Coturnix japonica: one gene and its partners. The protein of the gene in region 3 interacts with the protein of the main gene of each other region in a pairwise test. Links are inferred from orthologs where the notes say so. Each region holds a gene or a part of one and is shown on either strand. Other genes may lie near its edges. The genes, in order: BNIP2, MAPK8IP3 and KLC1.

Region 1 (7,962 bases), on a different chromosome or scaffold from region 3:
AATAGTAGTTTCTGCTAAAAACCACATTGTGAGTTGTATTGATCCAAATACACATGCAATCTAAATTCAAGCTGGCAGTAAAGCAACAACGCAGCACAATTTCCCTTATAGCATTCAAATTATGAAATATCAAAGTACTGGTTGCTACTGGTATGACCTTTAGGAAAACTTACTGTATTCTTGCTTAATAAAGTATAACATGAAATACATCACAGAAGCAGTATTCATTTTGTTATAGAACACCTCTCAAGTCAGCTTTTTTTAATTTCTTTGTAGGTCTGAGCATCACAGAACTCTTAAATGCTAAAACTTGTCAGAAACATTGCTTATTGAAGTATTCAGGCCCTCAGTCATTGGTGATAATAAGCAAACAGTCTCAAAAAGTTCCTTTAACACCTGAAGAAAACAAGGCTGAACTTACACTTTCATTTTGGTAACATCAGTAATTTCAGTACGGGCAATCTTCTATTACAAATCAACATAAAGCTATCGCCTTCCAGGACACAAAGAAACAAGGCACAAAAGCCTCTCAAGGTCACTATGTCAGTGGAAATCACTGCAAGATCAAGTACTAGCTTATCAGGAAAATAGGGACAGCTTATTTTGGATGTTCTGTATTTGATTTTTATTTACAAAAAGTTTAAAACCTTGGAAAATCTTCATCTTGCCATTCTTCCTTAAACTCAACACCTTCCATTCTCCAGCCAACTTGAACTGTTAATAGTTACTCCTGATCAGCCAGAACCTCTCGTCTTCTGGACAGCAGGCTAATGAGCAGCTAGAGGAACATAAAAAGATACAGTTCAGTATTACAACACTGCATCCCATCACTTACCACCAAGCTGAGATATTGTGTGGAAAAAACAGGGAACAGTTGCCAATTCATCCCCTCCAACCCCACCCCATCCCCACTTTTTTTTTTTTTTTCCAAATGCAAAACTATTTATAATAAGCTGCTTATAATAACAAAACTGGCATAATAATTTAGGTTCAAAGGGGTTTCTTCAAATCATCTAATCCAACACTCTGCTCAATCTTTAGGTTATAACCAAAGCTCAGAGTAACCTGACCTTTCATTTGGGATTACACCAGTTCACTCCACGGTGTATGAAAAAACAAAACCTTTAAATTATATGAGAGATACTGAATAAAGGTATATTCTGGGGAAAACACCAAACCAGATGGTCAGGTCTAAAATACAACTCAGTTCTTAAACAAACAATAAAGACTCCAATAAAAAGAAAGAAAACTTACCCTGAGATGTGCAAGCAGAGCTGCGTTTTTTCAGGCTCACCCATCACCAGCAACAGGGAATTGCCAACAACAGAACATAATAAACCATTCTGCTAACATCCAAATCCAATCCAGTTGAAAATCCTGGCTGTGTTGGCTCTTAAGATTGACAGAAACAGGTAAACTTATCAACGATAGGAAAAGCAGTACTAATCAAAACAGGAAATTGAATCGTATTTTTAAATGCAAAGAAGCAATTAAGGTAAAACCCAGTAAGTACAATGTTGGAATACAATCACACTACTAATTAAGCTAGAGAGATAGTTTACTCTTACATGGATAAAAAGAAACAAGCCATGCTTACTGTTCAGTAGAAGCAACTACTGTGGAAAATGTCACTTTCTCTTCTCCAGATCCAATAATAACCACAGACAGATTCTCAAAAGACCTGCAGTGCTAAGGCTATGCTAAACAAGCTGCATAATGTAAAAATTTAAAAGTTTTTCATTGTTAAAACTGCATTACCAGAAACAATTAGGCTTGAATTTGTCATTACTGCTTTATTTTACTGACCTTTCCTTCCTCCCACACCCAGGAAACAAAACTAAAACTTCCAGAAGGTAGCAATCTGATCCCCCTTAGCAGAAGCCTTTCCTTCTTTGAGTTGTTCAGCCCCCACCAGCTCAGCCGTGGGCAATACGTGCCCATACAACCTCCAAGAAGGTGTCCCCAGTCAGGGTCCTCCCAATGCTCCCTCTTCCTATCTGTCCATTTTGACTAATGCGTTGTCTGGAATGTTTTCTTGCTGCTTGAATCATACCACCTTCCTCACAAAACACGCCCTCTCTCATTACGATGTTGACACCCTTGGTATGAAGCTCTTCCTGCGTTCTGACCTGCTGAGTGTTTGCAATAATGAATTGAAAGAATTTGCTTGGGGATGAAGTCCTATTTTGATCAGCAGGAACAATTAATTTGTACATAGCACTCTGTTACATTTGTTTTGGGACACTGAGATGAAGCACAAGATATCCCACGTGGTCAAATGAAGAAAACATGGCATTTACAGTCAGTATGGAATGAACCATCTGATGCAAAGACACAGCTCCCTAAAAACAGAATAAACCTAAAAGGAAATCTCAACTGGTTATTCCACTCTTAAGGGCAGATTATAAAAGGAAGAAAGATGACAGCAGAAGGAAAGACAAAAACCAACACAGTCATGGCATGGCTGGCTTTAAGGCACCACTTTTATGTATGCCCGCACTGTGTTCACATTCCTGTTCCCCCAAGACTCCGAGGCTGAATTCTGCCCTAACAGCTTTATCACCACACACGATGAATGCTGAGCAAAGTAATCTTCAATTTCAGGGAAGTCAGAGAAGTGCAGAGTTCCTGGATAGTTAACGAATGACCCTGTATCATAATACCTGTGCTTACAAAGTACGAATGAAGTTCATCTGTTCATACAAGCTAAAGCAGAGTTTAGAACTGTTTTCCTATGGCTGCTGTGGCAGCAGTGGCTTTTCTTTTTTACTTCACCCAAGTCTTTTAAAATCAACTGTAAATGAAACATGTAAATGTTAAACTTGAAAGTATAACACTAATAATGCAAGTCTTTACTAGTCACATAGAAGAGAAGCAATTAATTTCTGACTGGCACTCGCACTCCTCGCAGACAACTCACAGCTTCTCAGAACAGCAGATCTGCTTGCTGTTTCTCTCCATGTAATGTACAGAAATGGAATGAGAAGACTGGGAGATACATCAGGTCACACGGAGAACACCCAGCTGCAGGACTGCCACGTGGTTCTGCTCTCTTCATGCAAACCCTGGGCTTCACTGCTGTTACACTCCTAAGGAAGTCAGAGCACTACAAACAGCACAGAACTAACACAAGGCACCACATCACTGCAATCACTTCGCTGCTACAGCTAATGAAAGGACCTCAGTGCAGACCCGCAGGTTAAACCCATGTAAATACTTAGCTGAGGTGTGTTACTGCTTGCACCACAAGCTTAACATGGGTGTTCTCATCCTTTTCCTGGAAAGAGCAGGTGCTCAGTTCTCACCAACACAGAGCGGGCTTGGTCTGGGTACATGTATGGTACACATACAGCATGGTTGAGAAGACCATGAACTGCCATTGTTTGGTGTGGTTTACAGTTATGTGTGTACTCTAAAGTGTTCTGACACTTAAAGAAAAAAAGACAACAGAATGCATAAAATTTACCTTTGAAAAAGGCCTGTTGCACATTTGAGTGGCCTTATTATTATTATTTTTTACACGTTTCCTTTCACCTTTGAATTCTCCACAGAACACCAACAGGAGATAAGAATTTGCCTGACCACATCTATATATCCATTACAAAGGCCCGTCATATTGGGTCCCCGATAAGGACATGAGGGTTACAGCATTTGTAGTAGAACGAATAGAGTTTATGCTGCAAGACACCTGTAGTGAGGAGCACAGTGCTGAGCTGCGCCCCGACACACACAGCAGCACACACAATGCTGCAGTCCCAGAGAGCTAAAAAATGTTATGCTGCTGTTTTCCTATGTTTCCCCTTCACCATTTCATGAGAAAGATCAAATGGAATCCCACATGCCGGGCATTAAAGAGGTGCCTCCAAGAGCAGTTTTTAATTTCAAAGCACGCCAGAAGAATACATATATATAATTTCCTTGCACACGGATTCATATTGCAAAGCTCCCTGTAATTTCTAACTATTTCCATAACCCCACTGGCTTTGAGAACAAAGCCACGCTCACTGCAAGCCTGAAAAACATTTCCCAAGATACACAAGGACAGACATCCCAGTCACGTCACCTGCAAGTCAGCACAAGGAGGCAGGCACAGGGCTCTGCTAATAGCACGGCTCGTCTGCCTTTCCGCAGCAAGCACACAGAAATCACTCGGTAAAGCAGGAGAGCTGCAGGCTCATGCCCCGAGCACTCAGAGCAGTGTAGGAACGCAGGATTCTGGCCTCGCAGGGCAATGAGCTGAACTGTCAGACACACCAACAGCACTTACACCCGATCGAACAGCAAGCAGCATTACTTGCTGAGAACCGACTTCACAGAATCACAGAATGACCCGGGTTGGAAGGGACCTCAAGGATCATGTAGTTCCAACCCCCCTGCCTGGCAGGGCCACCAAACATACACCTTTACTAGATCAGGTTACCCAGGGCCCCGTCCAACCTGGCCTTGAACACCTCCAAGGACGGGGCATCCACAACCTCCCTGGGCAGCCTGTTCCAGGGCCTAACCACTCTCCTAGTGAAGAACTTCCCCCTAACATCCAACCTAAATCTTCCCTCTTTTAACTTAAAACCATTTCCCCTAGTCCTGCTATTGTCAGCCCTTACGAAGAGTTTACTCCCCTCCTGGGTGTAACTTCCCTTCAGGTATTGAAAGGCTGCAAACTTAACCAAACCGATCGGACACTGCGCAGTACGGCGCACTGACAGCCGAATGTAAGGAACAAGCCAACTCAGAGGCCCGACTCCAACAGCTCCGCACCGTGTCACTGTTACAATGCTCAGCACAGCCCTATTCCTGCCCAGGCACCACAGCAGCCGCCCCCCAATACAGGAAACACGCGCCCATCACCATCCCGCTCCTCAGCTGGAGGAGCCGCGCCCCACAACGCAGCGCTCCCGGCGAGGCCCACGGTGCTGACCTGACCCCGCCTGTGCTCAGCCGCGGCCCCACGCCGCCTCCCACAGCTCAACATCCCGACTCGCCACCCCCTCCCCGACCCCCCCCGTGCGGTACCTGGCCGCACTCACACTGCGGGTCAGTTCGGAGCTGACGGCGGCCGAACCGCTGCGCTGTGCCGCCCTGCCCGACCCGCCACTCCGCGCAGTCCCGGAAGCGCGCACACCGCCCACCTCATGTGACCGCCGCGCCCCGCAAGGATTGGAGCGCTCGTGCGCATGCGTCAAAGCAGCTCCGCGCAACTCCCTCCTGTGGCTGCGCATGCGCACTTGATGCTCGCGCGTGAAAGAGCGTTGGAGGTGCGAAGCTCTCCACAGAGTGACGGAATGAGGCGGGTCGGAACGGACCAAGAGGGGCACGAAGCTCCGGCAAATGCCTGGCAGCGCCACCGAACTTACATGTACAGGTGGAGTGCACACAAAGCCGAGTTCACCATCCTTTGGCAGCGGTAAAGACAGCAGTTGAGGAGATGGAGATGTCACCAGAAGGAGATGGAGATGTCACCATGAGGAGATGGAGATGCCTGAGGTGCAGAGTGCCGCCTGAGAACAGCCCTGTGATCCACCCCGCTGGGACACAGTGCTTTGGAACAGCAGGAACACAGTGTTTGAATGCACAAAATTCATGAAGCTAAGGGGCAAACTTCATATTTTCATCACAAGCTGATCTCTGCAACAGTGGTTCTGCTGGAACATGAACACACATATCTGTGTGTGTGCCAGCAAACTCCACTGCACACAACTGCTGCCACTCACATGACTGCAGTCAGGCAGAGACCAACCTGAATTGCTGCTCCTCACAGCACAAAGGTTGTCCACAAGGCAACGATGCACCAATGTTTGAGCCCAGGTACAGCTGGAACGTGAGACACGTGCAGAAGAAGGGTGGGAAGAATAAATAAGTGATTTAATGAATGGAGAAAAATACTGTATGAGAATATATTGCTAAAGAAGAATAGATGGTAGAGACATTCACCCCCTACCTTCCCCCCCCCCCCCCCCCCAACAAAGATGATATCTAAGGATAACGGGAAATAAAGCAATTAAGGTAAATTTATTAGAATATTTATAAGGAATTAGTATAATTCACAGCAAACAGCCTGTAGGCGTTACTGCAAAATCGGCTTATCAGGTAATAAACACAAAGCAGGAGCCAGCTTAAATATAAAGAAGTATGAGGCTGCTGGCATGAGAAACACAATAAAACAGGAAGTGGGAACAGCAAAAGGAAAACAGTATTTTATTCTCCCACCTCCATTGTCACCATTTATTTGTTTGTGGAGGTAACAGCCACAGAAGGTGATGAAACAGCACTATTCAGTGCTTCAGGACATGGCATTTTCCTGGCTGCACACCAAACTTACCATTACTGCTGTACGCACCTTGGAACAGACACCTCATGCCCGTAGGATCCCGGTTTTTAATAGTGCAGATCTGATTACAGGAGTTCTGTACAATCTGTGTACAGGTATTTGATATGCTGAGCTATTTAGGATTGAGTGGATAGGGATCTCCGTCTGCTGGTGCAGTGTTTGTGAACAGCTGGACTTATGATGGAGGGGGTGTGTGGCAACCTTCCTTATCCTCCATCAGACCTGCAAGATAAAAAGGGCTACTATTACGTGTTACATCAAAAGGTTTAAAGTTCACATTTTAAGAAATATATATATTTATATATATATGTTTCATTAAAAATAGTGTTTTAGCTTTTCTAAATACCATTTGGTTGCTGATAAACTCAGAACTGCCTTCACGTTGCACCCATTGCCATCTGCAGGACCACTACCCAGGTCACCATGGTGAGCAGAGCTGTGCAATTTCCCATTTCTTACACGGGGTGGCACAAGGTGGCTGGAAATCTTTCTGGTGCTCCTGGGTAACCTAGAAAACAAGCAAACAAGGGGTCAGAGAGAACTACTTGGAGGTGTTGAATAATTCTGTTTCCAAACATCAGACAACTGCAAATATAAGCAGATTCTCACATGAAAGCTTTACCAAAGAGAGCAGGCTTCTAAGAATAACACTCTGTCATGTTAATTTTGTCCTGTATGTGGGAAAAATCAACTGCTGCATAACTTCAGGTCTGAAATAATTCACAATTAACCCATCAAAAGAAAATAATAATAATCTAAAACTACACAATGCAGAAACATTCACATTTTCATGGTTCTTTCCTATTTTGCTTATTAAGCAAAACATCATCTATTAATTCCAAAATAAACAACAACCCCTAGGTGACAAATACCATCTTTCAACGGGTTCAAGCAATCAGGAATGTTGGGATTTGAAACTATTTGTTTGAAATTCTGTGTCTGTGAGTTTGGACACAGCACCTGCATCTGCTCGTCGCTCCTCCCAGCCATTTCCCTGTAAAGCATACAAGCATTTTTTCTCCAGCCTTTTTCACTTTTGTCTTAGGCTCCTGTGCTACACAATTACAAGAGCAACATATTATTTAGTGATGATTCCCAAGTTTGTGGACAGGAACAAAATAGCATACAGTATTCTGATATTCTTTTGGTATTCCTGTAGGGTGCATCATCATCGTGTTTAAAGCCACGTATACAACTGTAATCTGTTATCACAGCCAGCTAGTTGTGGTAGTTTAATCCTCTCGGTATATCATGGGGTAAAATACTGAGCAGAAAGTGATCCTGTCCTCTTCATGGTCCTTCTATACCCCAATACAGTGTATCCCAAACCTCTTTCAGCTACTTCAGGTAGAACCCACTGTGCTGTACAGGACTCATTCTTCATAGTCAGAATTGCACCTCCCACGTCGGCTGATTTGCCCTTTCCTATATCTGAGCAAGTTCCTTGTTGATTAGCAGCCAGGACAGAAACTGGGTCTAGGTGAACATTCTGTGTTTGTAATTTAGCAAGGGAAGCACAGCAATATAAAGAATGTGCAACTTTCATAACAGCCAAGACAAACCCCAGACCATTTTGAAGATGCAACTATTATCTTTACTTAAATTGAGTCTGTCCATTTGTTTGTGATTCAGGT
Region 2 (7,453 bases), on a different chromosome or scaffold from region 3:
AGCCTAAACACGAAGACAACACCCGAGTCTTCTCTGCCTTCACTCTGTAACAGGCAGTACTGGCTTACATGAAAGTAAAAAGGAGGAAAACAACGCTGCAAGATTGGAGCTGACAGAACAGTGAAAAGAAGGCAGTTGTGGCTGTAAAACCTGAATTTCACTGCACAAAGTCCTCTTGGTTTACAGCTGCACTGCCAACATGAAACTAGCTCTTCTGGGGAAGCCTGAGTGCCACTATGTCCTGTGAGAGAGCACACCTCACACTACGCTGCCTGGCATTCAAAACTGAGGAAAACCAGGAAAAATGGAAAGGCGCTGAGCTGGGCACCACTCTAACACTGGGGTTTTAAAACCACACTGACTGCATTGTCCCTCTGTCAGCTGCTGGTCTTTGCCAAACTACAGTTTGCAAGTTATATGCAAAGGTAATTGCATGACAGCAACATGCAATCTACCAGCTTTGCTTTCATCATTACCAAAGAAATGCTCAAGAAACATTTAGATGTTGCACTAAGGGACGTGGTTCAGTGGGGAAATGGTGGTGGTAGGTGGGCGGATGGACTGGGTGATCTTGGAGGTCTTTTCCAACCTTGGTGACTCTACGGAAGACAGATCGGTCTGCATCTCAAGAACCTTATATCAAGTATTACAGACTAAGTATATAAACCCCCTTTCCCCACAGGCATTTTAGTAATGTAATATACCAATTCTGTACAGAGATAGCTGCTTACATCCTCCACCTCTTCTTTGGGTTCTCGTCGGGCAACAATCGCTTCAGATTTCACTCTAGGAAACAGGAAGAAAAGCATCAAACCAGCAGCTGATACTGTGACTGCAGCTGGGGGGAGCATGAGGGGACTCTGGGGGAGATCTGGTTGCATCAGAAAGAAACCATTTTCCATCTGCAAGTGACACAAACCAATTATGAGGTGCTTCTGCGCTACTCTTCCTCACTCTTGCAGCATGTTTCTGACATCATCCCCTCCCTTTGGAACACATAATTTAAGCACCAGGCCCCAAAATACAGACCACTGGGACAGATCTGCTTCAGAGCCACAATTTCTATTCAGATGTTTGTCAAGATCTTAACCACATAAAAATTGAGCCATTATCAGCAACTACTGCTGGCTGAAGTTCTTCTGGGCTGTCTCTCTTTCCAATGCAGTAAAAAAGCCTTTAATATATGAAGGGCAGTTTGCCATCACAGCAAAGAAATGAACCCCAAATACATGTAAATACAAATTTAAAAGGATTTATCTGAATGCTTTTAGTTTACTTAAGCCTTGTACCGAGGGTCAGTCCCATTCGAATCACATGTACTTCTATGAGCAAGGAAAAAAAATGCCATCTTTATCTCCTAGTAAAGCACCCTGGACAGTTGAAAGTCCTCATCCATGCTGCATATTTATGTATTACATAACATTCTAAGAGACTCAAAAAGACAATTAAAAAAAAATAAAAAATCAGGTCTACTTCCACTGGCTCATGAGATCCCTTCACTTCAGACACTGCAAACACTGAAGGAACCCGACTGTGTTGTGGTTAGAGACTGTGCTCAGCAATTTCAAAAGAATGGAGGCAACCTTCCAGATTCAGGATGCAAAACAAACACCCCCCTCTGAATGTGAGTGCCACAGCACAGCTGGTACAGCTACTTAAAATGCAGTTATGCAGCCTGGAGACCAATGGGGCCTGCGTAGCTTTATGGAAGAGAAAAATTCCCAGGCTTTGTAGGCATTCAGGTTCAGGTTTCTCTATTTTGAGTGGAAAATAAGAAATGGGATTTGCCCAAATGCCACCCGCAAGGAGCTCCACACTCTCTTCTCCCTTTTCTTGTTCTTAATGTGAACAACAAGACAATTAACAATACTGACATCTAAATGCTGTTTGTGAGGAGCTGCACTCATCCTTTCATTAAATGAATGGGCATTCATGCCTCTCTGCATGATCTCGGCCACCAACAGCATCAATCTGCTGACAGTTTTCTTCAAAACCACTGTTTCAGAAATTCCTTCGTTATTTGTTTGTTTTTAAGTACGAACTGAAATGCTGAAAGCTTCACTCTGGGCAGCCCAGATTTGCAATCATTGTGATGGAACCTGAATATTAGGGAGGAAAATTCTGTAGGTTTTCTAAGGTTCAATAGTTCATTTCAGACTAAGAAAAACAATTTAAGAACACCAGAAATATCTCAGCCATGTACTATCAGCCCCGAAAGCTACCTCTGAACTCCAACATTAATGTCCATGAATGAAGTGCAGAAAAGCTGACCGGCACAGGTTTCTCTCTGAGGCTGTGAGTTCATCACTCAGGTTCTCCCAGCTCCCTGACACAGCATTGAAATCACTCACCTTTTCAGCTCTTCCTCCAGCTCCTTGACTCTGGTTTCCATTTTGGCTTTGGCTTGCTTCGTTGCCTCAAGCTCTCCCTTCAGCACTTCTTGTTCTCCAGACAACTGGTCCACCTTGGCAATCAGATCATTCTTCACAACGTTCAAAGCATTTCTTAAAGGTGTGAAAGGCACAATAAGCAAAAATGGCCCAAACCATAAGCTGTCCATAAGAGAGACCTGAAACTAAACTCACAGGCACTACAAGGAGAGTTGAAATGAGCACACTGAAATAAGTCAGGCTATAAGTCATGAAAAAGCACATCTTGACAATGAAGAGCTATGGCAGAACACAGCTGGTCACAACAAGGTCTGTGCAGTTCTGCATTCCGACTGACAGACCAACCTCAGGTGCTTCAAGGCAACCTGACAGCTGTACAAAATGAAAACCTATTTTAAGAGGATTAAGAACTGAAACATAAGAACCTGTACTCTGAACCTCTCAGAATCTGTATTATTTGTAGTTGCTGACAACTGGAGATGGTGGTGACATAATTCGGTATTTCCAATCAGTTCCAAAGTATCTTAAAATCTTTAAAATGAGCACCTTCCCATCACACCCAGTTCCATTAGGAAAATTGCTCAGGAGAGGATTTTCTCATCTACATTTCAAAGCATAACAAGTGTTCAAGAGAGCCTGCCAGATACACCAGAAAGCCACAGTGAGGCTGGAGTTCTAGCCACAACCTTCTTTGTGATGGTACCTCACTTATATAACCAGGCACACAACAGTTTCTTACTTGGTCTCCAGTAGCTGTGAGTTCTCCAACAGCAGATTGCCAACTTCTTTGCCCATTCCTGAAAAAAACAAAAAAAAAAGGTCAAGCAGTTTTCATCTGTTTCATCTGACTCATGCTTGGGAAAGAGAAATCATTTTTGTTAGGCTTCCCTACAGCCAGCTTCATCCACTTTAAAGGCTTCCTATTACCAGCCTTCCACTGTGGCAATATGAAAAGGACTTCAGATCGTCCAATGCTCGACTATTCACCTTGAGCAGTTCTCTCACAGGGATTCACAGTTTGAAGTCTCAGGCCCATGACTTAAGGACCACTCCCAAAAGAGCAGATCAGACATACTGCACATTGGGCAAGAATGCACAGAGGAGAGGCTGCAGCACACAGGTCAGGCTGCAAAACTCTGTAAGATTTGGAGCTAAGTGTAGAGACTGAATTTAGTAAAAACGAACTGAAAGGAATTTAGGACCAAAACCACAAGTGGAGCGCTCCCTGCTGCCGGGGACCTGCAGGATCCCAGGATCTGCTTCTATTTTACACATAGATACAGAGGCTACCTGTTGTTTTAAGGGACAGTGCTGAGTGCTGCAGCTTGCTTCTCAATACAAGCCCCGGGGCACAAAAAGGCATCACAACCATCAGTGTTTGTGCTGTAGTGTTCCTCATCCTGCCCTCTGAACTACCTTATCCCTTTACAGCAAAGGCATCAATATTTTCCACAATTGTTATTTGCTGATTAATATTCACAATGAAATAAAACCAAAATAAACTGTAAGTTAATGGAAGTTAGAGAAACATGACAGCATACAAGAAGTGAGAACGTATCACAACACTCCAACAAAACAAATCCTCTTCCCACAGTTAGATGGCATGAAGTTATGATGGCAAAAGCAAATTCCCAGCAGGAAGGAATAAGAAGCAGCATTTCAAGTTGTTCTTTGGTTCCTTTTTCAATCGGTAGAAAGAGAATCAATCACTTTGATGTTTCAGGCAGGTTTCTCAGTGTGTCAAGGAATACTGCAAACAAAAACCAAAGTGTACTTCTGGCTGGGTAAGGATGAGCTATAACCCTTTTCTCCCACAGCACATGCACTGTTTCTAAAATCCAGAGGTCACACAATACAGACACGTGTTTATTAAATATTTCTCTGGTTCCTTTCGGATGATTCTACAAATGATCAAATAAATATTTAACAAGTGAGGCATTAAAATGGCACTAAGATGATATTAAAAAAGACACTGTGAGTGCTGGCATCCTCGTGCTTGGTTTTTTTGTTGGCGGTGGGACGGTCAATAACAGTTTTCCTTCTCATCCCTGAGTAAGGTGAGTCTGCCTCTGGGAGAGAAAGGAACTCTGGTACAGAGGGTCAGTTGTTACCCCAGAACTACCTAATTAGTGTGTGACCCAGCCCCAGCCTGATGCTTTAACCAGTGGGAGGTCTGAAGGGCCGGTCTTGCAATGAAGAAATGGATGACGCCATCCTGCAGCCATAGAGTGAGACACTATGAGATAATCTCACACAAGCTGTAATGACAAAGCCCCACTCATGGAGATAGAAAAAAAGTGACTAAAAGGAAAATTCTTTACTCCTTACGGTGTGGGACAAAGGAGAGAGCCACACATCACTGTGCACCTCCCACAGCCAGGCAAATAGTATGAAGCATCAAAGTGGATAATCAAGGGAAGGAAAATCCCCAAATCACAACTGTGGACCAGCTGCATCCTGCTTCTTGGAGAGGTGAGACCACCATCACAAAAAGGAAAAGCAAAACATAAACCCACAAACCAATGTAATGCAAGACACATGGAGGGGATATTGAGTGAATGGAAGAAATTGTAAAAGAAAAAAAGAAGCGTGGTTAAAAGAGGAAAAAAAAGAAAGAAAAAAAGAAAAAAGGCCTTGGCCTTACCAAAGAAATCATCCCGTACTATGAGAGCCATCCCACACGAGAAAGGGAACAGAAAGATAGGGGGACAAAGGGGGAAAAAGGAAGAGAAAAAAGCAGCCATTAAGTACCAATCTGTAAATAGCAAACAGAGCAGCTCATCAGCATGTGTAAACGCATGTGGTGCCAGTATAGGTGATGCTCAGCATAAACTAACATACACCTTGTTCAGCTGCAGCCTGGCCTGGTAGGGATTTATGCCTGAGAGTTCAGGACAAGCTGAAGACGAGTTCATCTTTTTCTTCCACCTTCATCACTTACCCTGGACTAAATATCTCTGTGCATTCCAACCCCACCACAATGGCAAGTCAACAGACATGATGAACAGGGTGAAGGAAGGGCAGGAGAAAAAACAAAACGGGAGGGATATCAGAGCTGTTATCTGGCCTTCCCTGCACAGATCCAAATCCACTTTGCTACTGAGATAAATTCCAGTGCCACTTCAGAGGGGGAGTCTCTGAGAAAAGACCACCCAAAAATGGCCTACAGTGACAGCCCAAACAATCTGAACTAAGAGAGAAGATGATGCCGTTCCTTCCTCCCTTTTGTGACCTTACAGACCCAACATCAGGAGGTTCCGTGCAGAGGAATGTGACAGAGCTCAGCACTGCACAATTATGCCACAGATTTTGTACCGTATCAGCCCAAGTCGCCTGTCCTTATTACAGGTGAAACTTCATCCAGTTTGCACTGAAATCAACAGCGATTTCCTTGATTTCATCTAATTATTTTTTTTATCAGTACCCAAATGCATTTTACAGAGAGGTGAAAATTCTGCAATTTAGGCCTGCTGACCTTCGTATGGGACAAAAGGCAACAGAGGCGGCACTTCAAACTCCTACTGAAAAGACAAAACAAACAAAAAAAGGCCTGTGGTTCTGCCACTCTCTTCCCTACAGAAAAGTCTTTCTTTTCACTGCAGCTGTGGGTCAGGATGCATTAAGAAACTCATAGTGAGCATCATGCAAGCAGAGGGACTCCTCACAGTCTTGTTTACTTGAAGAACAGGAGTGAACTATGTAAATCCTGTGCTCAGCTGAGCTCAGCGCAGAGCACAGCGCCTGCCCTAAAACGAGGCACTTTGCACCCCAAAGCAAAGGAAAGGCACAGCGTGGTTTTCTCAAGACCTTGAGACGGGCCAGTGTCAAAACCTGCAGAAAGCTACACAAAAAGCGGATCAAAACACAGCAGACACGTGAACACCAAGCAGGAATAGCCTCCTGCCCAGGAACCCGCCAGTGCAAGGAACCAAGCAAGGCAAAGGTGGGAGAAAGTCAGCAAAGCCAACCGTGATTGGACAAGAGCAGGGGAGTATCACACGTGTATACCATATCATTGAGTCTCAACGAGGTAAAAACAAACAAGAAAGGAAACTGAGCAGAGCAGAGATACACACCTGAGAACTCCCCTATGGGCCATGTCCAGCGAAGCACAGAGAGACAAGGGAAAAAAGGAAGTGAAAAAAAGGATCGATCAGTGACTGAAACCAACAAAACTAAAATTTTGTTTCAAAAAAAAAAGAATTAACAATGATTCAGCCATTTCAGTGTCAAAAGGCATGAAATAGTAAGGACGGGAACTGCCACGACTCTACATACAGGACAAAAAAACCAAGGAGAGGGAACCCCTGTTAGAACTGCAGCCACACGCCTCAGCCACCCCCAGCCTTCCAGACACGAGTCTCAGACAGTCGCATCTCAGCCTGGATAAACCTTTCTTTTCTCAGTCACACAGCACTAAGCGCAGAACGGCCAGTTTCCACTGCCTTCTTGTTCCCCTCCCTTTGTGATCATTCTCCTGTTAGCAGACAGATCTGCTGAAATTAAACGTGCACTTCAGCCACATTTCAGCATGCAAAGGACAGCTGCATTTTACAACATTTTTTTTTTCCAACAGCAGCGCCAGGGCTCAGTCTGATAATTTCATTTAAACTTCTGTATAGAAAAACATCATTTATATACATGAACTTACCACTAACGTAACAACTGCTGTTTTCACCATAAAACACCCATTAATGAAGTAGATTTTAATCTCCAAAGCAAACACAGGAGGCCACCCTAACACTGAAAAAAAGGACTTCGCAGGGCCCATTACCCAACTGTTAGTCCTACCCTATGTCCAGAGTAAAGGGATAATGAAGACCAGGAAAGGAGATATGAGAGAAAGGGGGAACAACCCACAAGCAGCTGGGACTGCTACACTTTCACAGCTTTATCAGACTGCTACCTGACACAAAGCTGCTTCTCTGACTGCTTCAAAGTCCTCATTGGGAACATAGAACATAATCAGACTTCAGATACAAGAAGCTCCTTCAATATCAGCCTAAAAGGAGAATGCAAAACTCTCTTGGATGACTAAGAAGGTAAAAACTGCAGTGAAATCT
Region 3 (8,218 bases):
AAAAATGCAAACAGTTAGAGAAAAGGGGCTAATCGCTAGCAAGGGAAAACATAGACAAACAACTCAATTTGGCACAGTATCTAAGCGTATAAATTACCCTTGAGACAACACTGGCATGAGGTTCTCGGGCACAAAGGGCAAGATACCCAATTGTTTTGTAATTTGGTTTTACAGTTATATTAAAAACAAAAAACAACCCAGAGGAGGTCACACACAGGCATACCTTGAAACTAGTGTTTCTTGTGCTTAAGCGTATGCACAAGCATTAAAAAAAGCACCAGAAAAATCCTTCTTTTTTAAGAAGGATTAAGTTTTTTTAAGTTCCTTCTTTTTTAAATGTATATAGGAATCTTTGTGAGAATAAAGAAAATACATCTTCCTTCCTTCCCTATCTTCATGAAGAAGCACTGGTATACTGGTACTGAGATAAGTTCATGCCCCAGTCTGTCCCTCTGCTTAATGTTGGCTGGAAATAATGTCTTAGAAGACAGTGTAATTGCTGGTTGGAGGGAGGTTTGTGTACAGGCCTGTGCAGTCTGTTGTAGAGTTTCAACCTCACTTGCATACAATGAATGAAGGTTCAAATCCAATTAACATCAAAAACTCTCCGCTGCCAACCTTTAACTTGCTGAGAATTCAGACGTTTGGAAGTACAATCTTGGGATAAACTGATTCATACAGCATAGAGCACTGTAGTTTGTCAAAGGGTAGGATTCCTAACTCCTTGATCATTTACTATTTGAAGATCACAGTGGAGACTGGAATAAATAAATACAGCTCTGTTGTTGAAATTCTTCAATGTTTTTCTTTACAGTCGCATCATTGGCAGGAAAATTGTGTATCAGTTAATAGCATTCATCTGATTAACTTGGTTAGCTGAGGTTCTTATGTGTTTTGCTTTGTGTTCTTTAAAACAGAATGTTTTGAAGCTAACTGAATGATCTTCTTAAACCTTCAGTATTTTGGGGTTTTTTTCAATAGCACTACTCTGTAATAGTGATGATATGAAAAGAAGTCTGGGTAGCAAAATGTTAATGTCCTCGGCAAGCATCCTGCTCTCTTTAAAACAAAACCTAGAAGAAATTAACTACTGAAATGGCCTGTTAGAGCTGGATTACACCACACGCTTTGTTTCCTTGTTATTTCACTCTGGATAGAGAATGACGGGGGGAAACATGCTGGCTTTCATTTGTTACAGCTTCCCATTAATCCTTGTGACTGAAAAAGGAGAATTCGCTTCCATGTAAATTAAGCTTATTGACTTTGGAAGCAGGATTGTGATCAGTGTTTATTTTACTTAGTACTTTAATGCCATGCCCAACAGTGGGTTTCCTATGGCACGTTCAGGCATCTTGACCATGACAATGAGTCATGTCGAACAAAATACAGTCCTTTTATTCCCAAGTGCCTGAACTCCATGCTAACAAGGTAGCTCTGCATGCAGTAATTTGCAGATCTGTACAAAGGAGCTAGACTAATGCTGTCTGCAACTGAGCACTTGACACTTTTGGTCTTAAGCCCTGATTTTTATGTTTCCTGTTCTTCATAAAGGACATTCTTGTAGGAAATATAATATAAAACATATGCAACTGTCAAGTGATAGTGATGAAAAGCCAGACAGGTTGCTGAATCTGGCCTTTCAGTATTTGTTATTACCAGGATGCTTTTAAACAGCACTTTAGCAGCAACTGAAATTATTCCAGTGGAATGCTTTATGGTAGCCCATATTTATAGAATGAAGTCATAGATTTTAAAGACTGTAAGTTTAGACTTAAAAACTGTTGTCTCTTTTGGCAGAAAGAGCAGGAGGATATAATGACATTGGTAAAATAAAGTGAGCTACACTTCATAAATGAAGTGAACCTGAACTTCTTTGCAGAGGCTTGCTCTAATTGTGGATGTCAGTCAAATTGAATCATGATTTGCTGTGTGTATTTCTCACACTTGCACCTCAAAATGTAAGAGCTTTTTCTGCTGCATGAGCTGAACTGTTTGATTTGCCCCCTCCCAATGCAAATTCCTAACTATTTTATGGGAGAGGAGGAAAATGGGTATGTTGAGAATAAAGAATTCAGCGTTATAAATAACATATTTGGGGGTTTTACTTTAATACCCACTTGGATGACTGCAGAAAACCACAGTGACCTTGTTGGACAAAGAATATTTTAGAGGCAGTATGTCTAGGTCACTTCATCCTAAAAACAGGGCACACAGTGTAACTAGTTCTCTAGGACAAGATGGAAATGTGGGCAGCAAACAGCTTTTCTACTGGAAGAATGCAGTTAGCTTATGGAGAATGGACAAGAAAAGCAAGATCCAGCTGGGGAGAACTGACGTTTTGGGTCAAGAAAAAGCTTGAGGAAGAAGCAAATCTCTTGTGTCTGCTTCTCCTCCACTGTGTGCCATAACCAGAGGTAAGCAATACTGCACATTAGTTCCATTGCAATAAGCAGCCTTGCTACACGACACAGCTTGTAGTGTGTGCTGCTTGTGTGGGAAACTGCAAGCATGCATATACATCATTAGGCAGCGTATTATGAATCAGGGTCAAAGCTGGAGTAGGTGCTTTGTTCAAGAGATACTCATTTCCCTGGGGTGAGCAGCTAATTGCAGGAAATCTTTGAAAGCAAATGTGTGATAGGAAGAAAGCAATGAATATTGTTTATTCAAAAGATAGGAGGGGTTCCTTTGAATCTGTTCTCTTGCATAATCATGTAATTAGGGCAAGTTCTATTTTTAATTAAATCTCTTGCATATTCATGAAAATTCTCTGAACTTGTGGACCAGCTGACATAACTCTTCATTTTAAAAACGTGTATAAAGGAATGGTTATTCATTTTTTGCCCTTTCTTATTACTTTCAGACACCTACTTCCCACCATTACACTCAGTTGGCCAGGCCACTGCCCAGACTTCCCTGTCAATACTACAGTGCCCTTTTCCAACCCCACAGGGACTCTCTGCTTGTGCATTCTGCAGCCCCATTTGTTTTGCTGGGCTTCTCTAACTACAGCACCAGTTGTGACTCCTTCTTCCATCTCCGCTTTAGAGTCCTGCCATTCTGTAGAGCCCATTGATGTTTTCTTTGAGGACAAACAGATGTCAGCACAGCTTTCCTTGTGTCTCTCAGAATTCACCACGTAGGTGAGGCCGCACACTCTGATTCACCGCTACATCTCCATATTTCTATAAGCTTATGATTCATATCTATATGTAATATGTACTGCAGGAGCTGCGCGGCGTTCAGATGATAATGCACCATAGTATTGTCTAGACATTAATAACACTTTATAGTTAGGCTGTCATCATTCCCCGATGACTCCCTACACGCATAGCAGTGCACTGTCATATTTAACTGTATTTTTCATCCTAGAACTCCCGTTTCTTCCACCATCATCACAGAATCACACAGAATCACAGAATGACCCGGATTGGAAGGGACCTCAAGGATCATGTAGTTCCAATCCCCCTGCCTGGCAGGGCCACCAAACATACACCTTTACTAGATCAGGTTGCTCAGGAGACCCCATAGATCCCCACAGAGACCCCATAGATCCCCATAGATCCCCCATAGATCAGGTTGCCCAGGGCCCCGTCCAACCTGGCCTTGAACACCTCCAAGGACGGGGCATCCACAACCTCCCTGGGCAGCCTGTTCCAGGGCCTAACCACTCTTCTAGTAAAGAACTTCCCCCTAACATCCAACCTAAATCTTCCCTCTTTTAACTTAAAACCATTTCCCCTAGTCCTGCTATTATCAGCCCTTTCCAAGAGTTCACTCCCCTCCTGGGAGTAAGTTCCCTTCAGGTACTGAAAGGCTGCAATGAGGTCACCCCGCAACCTTCTCTTCTCCAGGCTGAACAAACCCAACTCCCTCAGCCTGTCCTCATAGGGGAGGTGCTCCAGCCCCCTGAACATGTACCCAGTGGAGCACAGAGAAAACGGCCACCATTGTACTTTATGAAATGAAACGTGAAGCTACAAAGACACATTTCCTGCTCTCCCGCCGCAGGCCGGCAGCCATGACATCATACAGGGAGGGGAAGCGGCGGGAAAGGAGGGCGCGCGTGGGCTGCTGGGAGAGGGGAGGGCGGCCGCCATGTTGGGCGGGGCGGGCCGGGCGGAGCGCCGGGCGGGGCCGGGCGGGGCGCGGCGGTAGCGGCCGGGGCGGCGGCTGCGTGCAGCTGTCAGCGCCCGCTCCTCGGGGGCCGGGTCGGGCCCGTCGGCTCCTTACAGGTAAAGCCGAAGACACGGCGGTGCCCGCTGTCTTCCTTTCATCGAAATCCTTTTCCTTCCTTCCGCCCGTCGCTGACATCCTCCTCCGGCCTCCCCGGGCTGCGCGGCCCCCGCCGGCTCAGCGAGCGCTGCGCACATCCGAGCCTGCAGCACCGAGCGGTGAGCGGGGCACGGCGGGGCGGGGAGGGTCGGGGCTTTTCGGTTCCATCTTCGCCTTCCTCCTCCATCCCGGTTCTCAGACAACAAAAGGCTGCTCCCCGCTGACAGCTCCGCCGGTCGCGCTTTGTCCCCCCCGCGGGGCTGCGGCCGGCACCGCCCAGGGGGAGAGCGGGCCGGGCTGAGGGCAAGGCGTGAAATGGTGGAACGGAGGGAGGAAGAATGAAGGGAGGAAGGCGGGGACGGCGCTGATCGTGACCGAGCGGTGCAGGTCACCGTGATATGCCCCCTTCGGCATCCTTGTCTACAGTGAGGTAAATGGTGAGGGGAGAAATAACGCCGGTGCCTGACCGACCTCACTGGTACTGTCCTTTGGGCAGAGGTGAATTAGGAAGGTGCTTTATCCTTCTGGCTTGCTGCTGTTTTGGGTAGAGAGATGTCAGGTTGGTACAGCCGCACAGCGCTTGTGCGTAAGCACCGCGCCTCCTCCCTGTGTGCTGAGCTGAGCTGAGCTGAGAGAAGCCCGTTGTGATGGCCAGGGCAGCAGCACCCAGATGGACACACACTGCTGGGAGCCTGCTCCATCCATCAGGTGCTTCTGCGCTTTGTTTTTTTTATCCCCCATTAAAGATTTCCTTTGTTATATCCTCCGTCCTCATTGTAACAGCAGCATTCGAGTACAGAATCAGAAAGCAAAAGGAGCTGGGGGGGGGGGGGGGGAGGAAAAAAAGTGAAAGTTTGTTCTTATGCTCCACTTTAAACAGCAGAACGATGTCATTGGTAATAGAAGTTATTTTTTAGAGTCTTACATAAAAACGCCTGGGACGATGATACTTAAAATGTTCTTTTCGTGTTGCAAATGGCAGAAGGTTTGGTAACAATTAGTCTGGGAAGTAATTGTCTGTTTCACTTCCCCTTTTGTGTTTGTACTTCTCTGAAATAGGAAACATGCCCAAAGGGTGTGCATTGGAAAGCTGGAAAGGAACCTTCGAGATTTACACAGCATTTCAATATACAAAAATCAAATGAAATCAAATATCAGATCAAATCCAAACCTTCTTGAATTTGGGATTGATTTCAAACCGCTCTGGGAAATGACATGATTTTAATTGATTCTGAATTCCAAAGCTTCAGCGAAACGTGATAGAGGATATTATAACCCCGGGATTATAGAGACAATTGAAAGAAACACATTCAGCGTTTAGTGGAAGCAGAGAGGAAACTGATCTCTGTGCTGGTTCGGAGCAGGCCTCATGTTTTGAAAGGTGTTGCTGTGATTTAATTTTCTTTGTGGTTTAAGACAATATTTTTGTGACATATCCATGGATGTAGAAAACTCCAGTTCCAATTAGGTAAGAACTTAATGCCGAACCAGGTGGCAAAGTGCAGGGAACTGAAATGGTGAGTTCCCGAAGTCACACAACAATGCGGTATCACTTCTGCATCGTGTTGCAGTGAAGTTTGGCAGCATTTCTGTTCCTGATGGGTGGTGATGGAAGTGGGCACCTCCATTAATCTCACATTCTGACAGCAGTGTAAGTCTGGGCTCCGTTCATTTTCGAATCAAAGAAAACACGCTATTGTAAGTAATTTTAAAAGAAAATAAAGTTGTCCCCTGAATGTATATTATAAAGTTGCTTTGTTTGCTGCTCACTGCATTATTGGGATGTACCAACGATGCCTTATGAATGGAAACTAATCTTAAAAAGCCTTTGCTCAACAAAAGAATAGTGCACAGAATAGTGAATGAAATTTGTGGCAGTCTACTAAATGTTTTGACATACAATAATCAAAATGCTGTTCGAGGGAGGCGTAAGGGGTATAAAAGCAATTGCTGCTTGCTCTGTTGATGAAGAACGTACCATAACGAAGTCAGAAAGCCCTCACTTGTGTGCTACCCATAGGCTGTGTACATTTAAACACAGGGAGAGATCAGCGTATCTACGTGTGCATAAAGACATACCTACCTATGTCCCTTAATTAGGAGCCTGGGGAAATGCTGAACCCTCATGCTCTGTGCTGAGTCCACATAATGCAGCTTCTGTTTCTCTTGAGACATGTGGGCTGTGCAGATACTCTTTCATTTCTTACTCTGCTCGGTATCTCTGGAAGACGTGTAAGTAGATTTATGCTGGTATTAGCAGCTTCTTTCCAGATGCTTAGCTCATAATTATTTTAAGACTCAATGAAGTGTACAAATAACTTTTAAAGTACTGTTATTCTGTGATTCTGTTTTCATAAAGGGAGTGAAAAAATGAGTATGGGTACATTCATGACGATTCAATATGTATTTTTGCATTTAATGTTGAACCGTGTGGTAGCAAACAAAGATGAAGGTGAGAGTTTATTTAAAGGAACCTTTTGCTGTCCGTGTGCCTCAGGGTACAGTTCAGCATGACACATCTGCCATAAAGCTGGGATCTGACCAATTCCATCATCATTGCAATAGAAGTGGCTACATAGAAGCGTTTATTGTAGCATAATCTGCATAATATTTTATACTTTCAAAGTATTTTTTCATCTATGAAAACACAGTATTTACCTTGACCAAAGTTTAGGGAAAAAACACATATTTCTTTTAGATGTTAACTGTTGTTTTCCTTAAGACAAAATCATTGGGCATGCAGTGTATGATGTATATACTTCCTGGTAGCCAAGTACTAGTGGAAGGCAAACGGCTTATTTTAAAAGAAGTATTTTGGCCTCAAAATAGAGGCAGTTATATCCTGAGTCATGCTCAGCTTGAGGTAGTGAGGCTCTCCCGGTCGTTTCTTTAGTGGAACGTTTTCTGTCTAATAGCAGGTTGTAGAAATAAATGTGGTTCCTTTGAAAGAATACTTACCCAGTCACCACAGTCAATAAACACCAGACCAGGAAGCTTGAACTCATGCTGAGATGCATTTGTTGCTTTGACTTAAGGGATTTGAGCCGGGCACTTTGTAAGAGGGCAAGAGCCAGAATTACAGGTCCTTTCAGTGATGTAGGAATCATTTCCACAGGGTTGTGTTTGAGGTGCTTTGACAGATAACGCTGGGCTTGTTTTGGAAAATGTTTTTTGTAGCAGACAGTTAATATAATGCGTAATGACAGGCCGTGGCAGATAGGCAGGCATGAGCACCTAAATATATTTGGGTGCATGAACAAAGAACTGGTGTTCAAAGGACAAACACTGAAGCACAGTTGATGCTTATTTTCTTCATACAATATAAAATTAGCATATCTAATCTCTGACACTGGATAGTTTCTTCAGATTGAGTCAGCTAAGAAGGCAGATGCAAGTAATAGTATCTGTCTGTTGATTTAATCATGGTTTGATTCTCTGAATCCAGCTTATCTCCCTTGGGTTCTGCTGTTCAGCTCTTTTCAGTGCCCTCAGAAGCAATCTTTACCCTGAAAGCTGCTTTGACCTGCAGGTGGAATTAAATCAAATTTATTTTTTTCAGATAATTATTATTGCTCTTTTTTTCCTTCCTGGTTTCTTTTCTCTCTCTAAATTAGGAGTCATGTCATCTTCTATTCTGCGTATGCTTTCCCCATGTTTTCTACTTAAACACAGATTTTTTTTTGCATGGTTTCTCAGTATCGTGTCTTAATCACAGTAAAAAGAACCAAACTAATAGATCTTAGTCAAATTACCTTAAAACTGAGCGTTTTCCTATTTTGATTCTTAATAAATATCTGCTATAAAACCCATTAATCATTTTAAGTTGGTGTTTCAGTGCTTCCATCAGAGCCATAGCTGACTTTATTATATTCCAAAGTGAATGGAGTAAAGGATGTAACCAGTCTGGTCAGTTATACAGCTTCCTTATAGCTGGGTAGGGTGG

The links.
Region 1: the proteins of KLC1 (region 3) and BNIP2 interact in binary tests that used the Homo sapiens proteins (3 or more experiments, as listed by UniProt). The two-hybrid records come from large-scale screens. The link is inferred for Coturnix japonica from reciprocal best matches to the Homo sapiens genes KLC1 and BNIP2.
Region 2: the proteins of KLC1 (region 3) and MAPK8IP3 interact in binary tests that used the Homo sapiens proteins (3 or more experiments, as listed by UniProt). The link is inferred for Coturnix japonica from reciprocal best matches to the Homo sapiens genes KLC1 and MAPK8IP3.

What each region holds. Positions count from the first base shown.
Region 1 is NC_029525.1:4,455,681-4,463,642, reverse strand, and holds the start of BNIP2 (BCL2/adenovirus E1B 19 kDa protein-interacting protein 2), read right to left. Parts: upstream 5,152-7,962; 5' UTR 5,028-5,151; exon of another isoform or gene 5,014-5,027; intron 1,393-5,013; 5' UTR 1,255-1,392; intron 779-1,254; 5' UTR 698-778; coding exon 648-697; intron 1-647.
Region 2 is NC_029529.1:12,375,117-12,382,569, reverse strand, and holds part of MAPK8IP3 (C-Jun-amino-terminal kinase-interacting protein 3), read right to left. Parts: intron 6,479-7,453; 5' UTR 6,467-6,478; intron 3,188-6,466; 5' UTR 3,186-3,187; coding exon 3,130-3,185; intron 2,505-3,129; coding exon 2,352-2,504; intron 787-2,351; coding exon 732-786; intron 1-731.
Region 3 is NC_029520.1:45,860,159-45,868,376, forward strand, and holds the start of KLC1 (kinesin light chain 1), read left to right. Parts: upstream 1-4,145; 5' UTR 4,146-4,394; intron 4,395-8,218. UniProt on the Homo sapiens protein: Kinesin is a microtubule-associated force-producing protein that may play a role in organelle transport. The light chain may function in coupling of cargo to the heavy chain or in the modulation of its ATPase activity.